Saccharomyces cerevisiae S288C: one gene and its partners. The protein of the gene in region 2 interacts with the protein of the main gene of each other region in a pairwise test. Each region holds a gene or a part of one and is shown on either strand. Other genes may lie near its edges. The genes, in order: FLC1, LSP1 and MRP8.

Region 1 (3,760 bases), 420 kb from region 2:
GAAACCTCTTGTTGTGTTATCTTATCCGGAGCGCTGCGCTTGAAACTGCCCAGTTTACTCTTATTCCTTTTGATTGATAATGAACGTAAAACCTTTTCAGAAAAGGTTGGACGGGTGGTTTCCTTACTGCTACTTTCAGCATTCTCTGAATTAGTTCCTGTTTTCTCGTCATCGTATTCAACTCCGAAAAGATTATCTTCACTTTTACCTTCTTGACTCTTCAGTTCGTATTCCCAATTTTCGGTATGATCCTTTGCCACATTACCTAGGGCCATTAATTCGTTGGCCACTGACTTATTCAAGGCACCTTCATGAGGAATAGCATGCTTTTGGAAAGATGCTCTGTCATCCTTTGCTGGCTTGAACCTGGAGTCAGGATTCTTAGAAAACAGAATGATTGTGGTAAAGGCCAGAATCATCAACAGTAGAAGCAAAGAAAACGCAGCATTCATAATGAAAAACACCCAGCCCATGATGGCAGAGACAGCATACTTTTGGTTAAACAAGTTTGAGAAAAACATGAAAAGGAAAGAGTTGACCAAGGTGACAGTGCAAATAAAAATGTTGACAATATTCGTTGGACGGTCCAAATATGGTTTATAACGGATGATGGCAACAAAATACGCCAAGTCAATAATGAAAATAGCCAATGCTTGCGTTTTACCTGATGCCTGTGCGAATCCGACAAATAAAGCTTTTACAAGAATATACGTCGTTAAAAGAGCATTCCACCAATAATGTTTTGCGTTGAACATGGTGTAGAAAAACCCGTACTTGTTTAAGACGTACTCATCACCATACAATAAAGCAGCTGGGTTATTGTACATTTCCACAGATTTACTTGCGAAAAAAATGGTTCTGTACGCAGCCCACGCCATCAACCCGCATGACAATACAATGAATAGGCATGCAATAACAATAACACCGGCGGAATCCCGTTCAGTGAACTCCCAAAAACTTAAAATTGTCAGTTGCGTGAACCCAATATAGATGTATCTTAACAACGATCCTTTCAGAACTGACCTCCAGTTTTTCCTAAATTGGTAAAACCTATCACTCCGCATCCAACCACATCTTATACATAACTCGATACTGTATTTGCAGGCCATGATAAACCCGGCCAAAAAATAACCGCACAGCACAAAGAATGTGAACCCAGTACAAACGATGGCCGTATTTTCAATCTTCATACGGTATCCCATTCTTTTAATTCCTCGAAAGATTAAAGTGTTTGAGTTACCGTACAAGACATTTTCCGCCCTCTTGTAAACCGAAGTATTTTTAAGGTAATCCAGACCTCGTTGAGTGAGCACTGACATTGTTGTCGCGGTCAAATATAGAGATGCGGAGCCTCCAGTCGCCTCTACATACCAACGGAAGATTTTCTGCATAAATGTAATACGGATCAAGCCCATCGACCAGGCAAGGTTTTCAGACCAGGCAGCAGCAATGGGTGGAACACTGTCTACATGTTGCATTGCGACCACAGCGACAGATTGGAAATATAAGAACAGTGACATGGTGTTTGCAGAAATGTGAGATGCTGCTGTGGAGTTCCCGAAGGTGGACAAGACAGCGGAAGTTAATAAACCAATACCGGCGATAACAGCTGTCACCCATTTAACCCCAATTTGTGATACAGTTTTCCCATTGGAAAAGAAAACCTGGATACAAGCCAAATTTTCACTTACGTTGTTATAAATGTTCAATCTTACGTACGCATCAATATCGGGCACTTGGTAGGCAATTCCCGGAATCATTTTCACGTACTTCTGGGCAATGTATTCAATGGAGTCGATTTGTATGTTACCTGGGTGCACAGGGCAAAACTGCTTCCAACCCATTGAACACACGTCGAAGTTCTCCGTAATAATCTTGAACCCGTAGGCATACACGTCCACATAAGCGTAGATGTAAGAGTCGATCTGCGTGGTCATATCCAGATCGTAATGTAGCGATCGATCGTCTGGAGAAAACGACACATCGAAACTATTGGCTGAAAGCTGTGAGTTCTCCATGCACGTGACCAGTGAACTCGCTGTCAGTGTCCTTTTCTTGGCGGCCACTGGTAGTACCAGGCATGTGCATATTAGACACCAGAGCGTCACTAGTACTTGCATTCTTAACGCCGTTTTTGGTCGGGTATGTGTGTCAATAATGAAAATAATCTCTTTGCTGCCAGGTATTCTTTCTTTTATAAACCTCTAGCCAGAAATATCCGTGCTTGATCTTTCTGCGTTTCTTTTTTCTATGTGTGCCTCCGCTTATTTCTTGTTCTTTCCCAAAAAAATTCCGCAGTTTCCCAAAACGGCAATGTGAGCAAGTATGGTTAAGTTAGTTCTCGAGCGATCGGTTCAGATTCGCATAGCAGGATTTTGCTTAAGAAGACTCAAAAATAAAAATCGGAAAGAAAGTGAGTATTAATATATAAAAAATGCAAGGAAAAGGAAGAGAGCTTGGTCAGCACCCGGGACAGAAGGCCAGAAGATGGGTCCTTTAAAGTGTCAGGTCTTTAGCAGGTGCGTAGGAAACGCATGTGGTAGCTCGTTTCGTCATTAGCGTCTCGTAGTGGACAATAACGATGGATACGCAGTCAAAACGGCGGAGACTGTTTCTCACTGTTTTTACCCTTCTTGTTCTGCCCGTCTCTTGTCTCTCTCCTCCTCTCCGCCTCCGCCTCGTTTCCTCTCTTTTTTTTTTTTTTTTAATAATCTAAATAAGTTTTCGTGTTCGTGTCCGGTGCCAGTCGTTCGGCTACCCTTGTCTCTTTCCCCTTTTGAGTTTATAAACGACTCTCCGAACGCGGTGTACGTGCTTTTACACCGAGGAGATACCTGAGCAATTGGTGACTACCGTGCCTACTTGCGCCATATTACATGTATATATATATATGTATATATATAGCTATGAATGTATAAATACATCTGTGGTCATTTAGCTACTGCAGGAAGCTTGCATCATAAACTTAGCGTCATCTTGGTGGGAAAGGTCAGCCCATTTTGTCTCCAGTTCTGGCCGCAGAGTGACATCCCATTTCGTGCGGTCGTATGGGTTTACGCTCATTAGGTATAGCTTCTTCAACGCAGATGTATCTAGCTCCGAACTGGGATCTTGTAGGCCATCCCTTTGACTGTACATTAAATCGTCGACTACTTCCTCCAGTACCCAACTTCTGGGGACAAACAACGGGTTGGCTTTCTTGGCAAGCGACGCTCTTGCAGCAGTTTCCGTGGGTGGGACCAAGGTCAAATAGTCTTGGGTCCAATTGCGTATTTCTTGCAATTTTTCGTTGAGCAAACGCAATTCGCCGTTAGCGTCAAAGACCTTCTCACCAGCCGCGAAGGCCTCTTCAGTTTCTGCCATTTGCTGCAGTTGCTTGGAGTTGAAGAACATACCCAAGTACTCTTCATCGAATGCTCCAAAAAGTGTTGCGGTGTCACTTTTATCTTTGATGAAGAAGGGCCCCTTGTAATTTTGTAGATGGATAAAAAAATTGTTATAGTCGACTTTTGTGGCCTGCAGAATATCTAGCAATGGTTCGACGATAACATCGCAGAACTCTTTAGCCTTCTCGGCTGCATGTTCGATATCTTTGAGGTTTGTAGAAGACATGCACTTTTCCAGATCCAGATCTACACCGAGTCTTTGAGACATTATCTGCGCGTACCTTGTCGTAAACACATACTTGTACTCATTAGCACTGAGCTCTACCAACTTCTGGACCCTTTCAATCATGGTTTTCTCTAGGGCGTCATCAACA
Region 2 (3,296 bases):
ATCGTCGACTCGTAAACCAATAAACTCATCTTTATCCTCTGCAGTTACTGCCGGTTGCTCCCAGAATTGGACCATAACTAATGCATCTAAAAGGGCATTCGAGGTGCTAAAAATACCTAACAAGTCACTTTTTGGCGGCAATATTTTCCTGACCTCCCCGTAATGAGAACAAAATGTCTCCAAGACATCCTGTGAAACTATTTTTTTACTGCGAGCCAAACTTTCCTCCACACGAGACTTGTCAAGCTTTGCTTTTACTTCATACAGTTTCTTGAGTCTGATATAATTTTCCGTTGTTGACTCCATATCTGGGAGAGTGCCCGTTAAAGGTTGAAAGCTGAGCTCCCCATTCTCTTTAGCAATATTTTTCAAAGTCAATAATAGTGTGAGAATCTCGTAGTTATAAGTATCATGCCAATCGTTCCCATAATCTGATATTTCCAAATTTCGGAGCAGATCTTCCAGTTCTTTACAACAATCATTTTGAGAGCAGGCCAAGTAAGCATAGCGTTTAGCTTCCACATAATTGGGTTCGTAGATAACATCATTCCCTAAAGGAAGGCAAATTTGGTCTAAAACTTTCTTCATCTGATCAATCGTTATCCTCCCATTATTACCATCCCTTTCAAGTTTTGCAATACACTTCATGAGCAAAACAGTATATGGAATACCAGAAAACGTGGCTGTATCCATTTTACTTAGGTCAAATGTATCTACGTAATTTATTAGTTCAGGCCAAGGGTTCTGTAACCGTAAATCATACTTCTTACTATCTGGGTGTGCTTGCAAAACAAAATGTGTTTCTGAGAGTACCAGATATATATATCCATAAAATCCAGAGACGAAAGTGTTTAGAACAGGCGGAAACTTTGTTCCTCTCTGCCGCCTAATCTCATTTAAATCGAGCATCGCAGTTTGCTCACCAATACAAGTCAAGATCACCACCGAGAAGCGGGTCCAATCATACTGAGGTTGCTGTAACGTCTTTCTAAGGTCATTTTCCTCATATTCTAGCTGTTTAGAAGCCAATGGCTCAAGATCTTTTTTAAGCTCTGCTAAAAACAGAGAACCCGATTGAACTGCACACTCTACTTTGAGCCAAGTAAGAGATGATATTCCGGCAAGCACCAGATTCTTAAAAACTTCCTGCAGCAAAGGTGTAGCAGGTCCTACCACGCACACACGGGACCGGTTCAAACTATCTTGGCCCAATGCTCCCCATAGTCTCAGCTGTCTATCATATCTTTCCATATTTTCATCTACGGCTGTCTAGTTGGCCTAAGAAAGAAAGAGAGGCGACTCATTTTTTTGACGTCAATCGTCTGACTTGTCCTTCTATTTCATTGCTAGGCTAGAAAGCTTAGCTCTTACAACCCCGCTCGTTGCAGCCGAGTGAAAAGGGGATTGCGAAAGGCGTTAGAGGGGATAAAAAGGGGCCCTTTAAAAAAAAGACGGAAAAACCGGGAAGATGCAACGGCTAAATCGCAATATATAAACAGGTGAGATAGAAAAGAAAAAAATCAGTTAACCTCTTTCCTCAATTCCAATGCTTGACCGTAAATTCTCTTTATTTGGTATACGAAAGATTAAACTTTCAAAGCTCCAACACAAGAATGCACAGAACTTACTCTTTAAGAAATCAAAGAGCTCCAACGGCTGCTGAGCTACAAGCTCCTCCACCACCACCATCCTCAACGAAGTCCAAGTTCTTCGGAAAGGCCTCTATTGCGTCTAGTTTTAGAAAAAATGCGGCTGGTAACTTTGGGCCAGAGTTGGCTCGTAAATTATCTCAATTGGTTAAGACTGAAAAAGGTGTCCTTAGAGCTATGGAAGTTGTTGCCAGCGAACGCCGTGAAGCTGCAAAGCAACTGTCTCTATGGGGTGCTGACAATGATGATGATGTTTCCGACGTAACCGACAAATTAGGCGTCTTAATATATGAGTTGGGTGAACTACAGGACCAGTTCATCGATAAATATGATCAATACAGAGTCACATTAAAATCAATTAGGAACATTGAAGCCTCTGTTCAACCTTCGAGAGATCGTAAGGAAAAGATCACAGATGAAATTGCCCATTTGAAATATAAAGATCCTCAATCAACAAAAATCCCAGTTTTAGAGCAAGAACTAGTTCGTGCCGAAGCTGAATCTTTGGTTGCGGAGGCTCAATTATCGAATATCACACGTGAAAAATTAAAGGCTGCTTATAGTTATATGTTTGATTCATTAAGAGAGCTTTCTGAAAAATTTGCCCTGATTGCTGGATACGGAAAGGCCTTATTGGAGCTGCTAGATGACTCTCCTGTCACTCCAGGTGAAGCTAGACCAGCGTACGATGGCTATGAAGCTTCTCGCCAAATTATTATGGATGCTGAATCGGCCTTGGAATCTTGGACCCTAGACATGGCTGCAGTCAAACCAACTCTTTCATTTCATCAGACCGTTGATGACGTCTATGAAGACGAAGATGGTGAAGAAGAAGAAGAACCTGAAATCCAAAATGGAGATATCCCCGGTCAAGTAGTCGAAGAAGAGGAAGTTGAATGGACTACTGAAGTTCCTGTAGATGATGAAGCCCATGAGGCCGATCATCATGTTAGTCAAAACGGTCATACCTCCGGTTCTGAAAACATCTGAGTTTTTTCTAATAATTAATATATTCGAACCTTTCTATATTGTGCTTGTTTTTCACCAGCTCGTGTCTACCTATTATTAATTTCATCTGAATTTGGTTCAAGTATTGTTCGGCCAATATTCCGGTATTGTAATCACCTTTATAATTAATTGAACAAATTTTATAAGACCTAATAATTAACCTTTCTCTTGTTCTCCTTTGCCGTAAGAGATTCAACTTTTCGAAGTCTAATTAAATGAATATGATCTATGAAGTATATATGTACAATAAAAATGCCTATATTAATAAAATTCCTGTCCAAATGCCAGGGCACTTATGCCTCCCTCATCAAACCTCCCCAACTATTCTCCTCTTTACTAGCTCTTTTTTGAAAGCTACATCATTGTCTTTGATATACGCCATTCTTTTTTCCAAAGCAGCCTTTGTGGCTATTGCTTTAACCCGATTTCGATATTCTCTTTTTTTCTGGGAAATGTTTGAGGGTAGGTTTGTGGGCTTCTGATGATCTTGTGCTGTATTGGTGCAGCGTAAAGTAGTGGGGATACAACCCAAAAAACGTAGTATTTTTTTTTGTGAAGAATCACTTTCTTTCCAAATTTTCCAAGAGAACTCACCCTCGGAAGCAATCAGGTTGCCCAACAATTTTCTTGCTTTTTCAA
Region 3 (3,068 bases), on a different chromosome or scaffold from region 2:
CATTTCACTGGCCACATTCTTCAATGGTGAGGTAGAAAGGAAGTTTGTTCTAGCTGTATTAAAAAGCAGCCTCCTCGAGGAGCTCAAGGCAGCTGCTCTTGAAAAGGCGGAGGGTTTCAGTAATAGAGCCGACTTATTCAGTCCTAACTTGACCATCATTGCAGACATCGTTTATTATTCTTAGAGCTTGTGATTGGCAATTTTTGGTTGGTCCTGAGATTTCTATGCGGGGATCTCGATATCATAATGCCAGTGCACATTTATACAAGTACCAAACGCTTAGAGCGGAAAACGGAGCGGGCTACCGCAGCCAATCAGAATGGACCTGGTCAAAAGTTAGATGATGCTTAAGACTACTGAATGGTATACAAGGTAATATATAGAAGGCTGTTGGTATACAGCTTTCAATCACAGATAAAAAGTATAGGTATACTTATGGGAGGAAAACTTTGAATTCTTTTCTTCTCTTTTTCACCACTAGAACATCCTTTAACTGCAATGCCGCGGAAAACATAGGTTTCATTGAAAGAGAATCCTGTTATGATATACTCAAAACTATATGTATATAGATATATATATATATATAAGTGAGGGAAATTTCTAGAACCTGGAACTCAAGCCCTCTTATTCATTGATTTTTCATTTTTTTTCATTTTCTGTTTACCATATTTCGGTTCCTCTTCTAAGGGAGAGACCTAGATAGCGGGCAACATCATTAAATGCATCATCTAGCTCATCTTTGGAGAACTTTTCCAACTCCTTAGAAATCTCTTCATCAGTGGTCTCATTAATGTGAAAGGCTTCCACCTTACCTTCCAGGAAGTTTTCAAAATCTTCTTGTTCCTTTAGAGTTGGTGGCAATCTTTCGTAGAATTTAGCAAGTCTTACCAGTTTTAAGTCTGGGATGTCTTTAAATTCTTTCAACGACTTAGGGAACACTCCGTCTGAAATAGCAGGAATATCACCATCTGCATTAGGCAGTGGCGCTATAACGTCATCATCATCTTTTTTCAAAGAGTTAACAAGTCTTCTGATAGACCTTTCCTCGATGAAATTTAGCTCACCCTGTAGTTCTTTGACTAATTCCACTAGATCTTCATTTGTGGCAAAATCAGTGGCATCGAATTGAGTAGCGGATCCTGATTTCTTCGAGATAGATTTAGAGAATTTCGAATCAAAATCAGTTACGTCGTGCTTTTGTTTATCTAACTGCAATTCCAGCACACGCTCTCCTGTCTTAGAGATAATCAGACTTTGCTTCTTCACTAAGTCTTGTAATTCAGAGACTTGCTTCTGCAGTAATTCAATTTCGTTAGACATTTTCTTCCTGCTATTTATTTATGTGTATTTACTTCCTTTCTTAAAATGTACTTTATCTGCGGAATACGAGTAGTAAGACAAGATATCTCAAACGGTTACTAATTTGAACGGCTCTTTGAAGCAATGCACGCCGGTTTTCTTTATACTAAAACAATATTTGAATAATGAAAATCGACCTCCTTCCTCCACCCCCTTTCTCCGAAATCCACAAAGAGCACCGCCGCGTTTCATAATTATTACCCGGTGGGCAGGATGTATTTTAGCATCAATGCATTCTAGGCTAAGTATACATGTCTACACAGTACTTGTAATGTAGGTGCTTTCTCATCTCATTCTACTCCTCTAAAATTTTAAGCTGCTTAGTGTATTGGTGACCTTCTCAAGTTTCTTTTTCTCTTGCCTTTCACGATTTCTTCTCTGAGACAGTTTACCTTTGCTTACTTCATCAGCAGCTTCCTTCAGCCTTTCAATTTCTTTATCTTTCTTAGCCAGTTTACGGCCACCACTCTCCAGTTCGTAATTGTCCAAAAAGTCATCAAGCATTGACTCAAAATCAGATCTTTCTGCTGACATGTCAAATGGTTGGTAATTTTGTTCTTCGTCCTCTTCTAGTTCTTCCTCATAATTTTCGTAACCATTGATGATTTGATCGTACTGATCATCCAGTACTGTCATCGTCTCTGTACGCGCAATGGCACTTGAACTCATGGAAAATCCAGATACATCTGACATGGCACCCTTTTTTTGACGGCTCTTTCTTTTCTTCTTCCCCGTCTTGCTTTTGTCTTGGATAGAGGGCAATTCGCCCAGCACATCTTCCTCTTCAGAGGGATTTACACTGTCTAAACCTGCATTAGAAAATTCATCATCCGAGTTATGCTTTTCTAGTATAGAGTTATCTTTTTGAAATCTTCGAACATCAGCTTGATAATCGATATTTTCCAAGTCCTCCAGGTTTTCGATGTTATCAAATTGCGCCATTTCCTTAACGTAGTTTTCATCTTCAAAATTTTCTACATTATCAATATCCCACTCATCAAACTCATCCTCGAATTCGTCTTCATCTTTTGCTTCACCGCTCCCTAGTAATTGTGCGAAAATGTCATCTTCCTTTTCTTCTTCTCCATAGTTATCGCCTTGAAGTTGTGTCTTTTTGCTGATGTCTTCAACCACAACATCATCATTAACAACATATGCTTCATCTTCTAAAGCTTCAAGCACCTCTCTTAATGCAGGATTCATATCAGGTTTGAAACCTCTAATTTCATCGGTGGTATCTTGTTGGTGTAGTAAATATTCTGGCTTTGCCATCCCTCTTTGAAACACAGGTAGCGCGTCATCCTTCTCAATTTCATCACGTCTATACTTAGGTTCGATGAATAAATCTTCAATGTTTTTTTTTTCGACCTTCTGTTCATTGCCTTTGGATGCTATAAAGATGGAGTTTTCAGGGTCGAGACCTATTGGCTTCAAATGTTGAGTATAATCGTATTCAGAATCATCAAAATTAATACCATATAAAGCTGCTTCTCCCACATGAGCCCTCCTACCCTTTGGTTTTGTTGAACTCACGTCTTTTTTTCGAAGATCTGCTTCTGGAGAAGTTTTATTTGGATTGGAGACAGGAACCAAAACGTGCGCAGAGGCATCTGTATCATAAAATGAAGGATCATCATGGGGTCTGTGTACCACCACGTACCTTTGGGAGTTTTTAGAGCTAAATTTCTTCGACATCTTCGTGCTTTTTA

What was found.
Region 1: the proteins of LSP1 (region 2) and FLC1 interact in a protein complementation assay, tested with the Saccharomyces cerevisiae proteins (2 studies listed by BioGRID).
Region 3: the proteins of LSP1 (region 2) and MRP8 interact in binary tests that used the Saccharomyces cerevisiae proteins (3 or more experiments, as listed by UniProt).

Annotation. Positions count from the first base shown.
Region 1 is NC_001148.4:131,403-135,162, reverse strand, and holds the start of FLC1 (flavin adenine dinucleotide transporter), read right to left. Parts: upstream 2,121-3,760; coding exon 1-2,120. Other genes in the region: FMP40 (Fmp40p), read right to left, coding at 2,935-3,760. UniProt on the Saccharomyces cerevisiae protein: May be responsible for the transport of FAD into the endoplasmic reticulum lumen, where it is required for oxidative protein folding.
Region 2 is NC_001148.4:549,975-553,270, reverse strand, and holds LSP1 (lipid-binding protein LSP1), read left to right. Parts: upstream 1-1,613; coding exon 1,614-2,639; downstream 2,640-3,296. Other genes in the region: ULA1 (Ula1p), read right to left, coding at 1-1,251; AEP3 (Aep3p), read right to left, coding at 2,965-3,296. UniProt on the Saccharomyces cerevisiae protein: Together with PIL1, main component of eisosomes, structures at the cell periphery underneath the plasma membrane that mark the site of endocytosis.
Region 3 is NC_001143.9:176,767-179,834, reverse strand, and holds MRP8 (Mrp8p), read right to left. Parts: upstream 1,321-3,068; coding exon 661-1,320; downstream 1-660. Other genes in the region: succinate dehydrogenase cytochrome b subunit SDH3, read right to left, coding at 1-168; ribosome biogenesis protein LTV1, read right to left, coding at 1,663-3,054.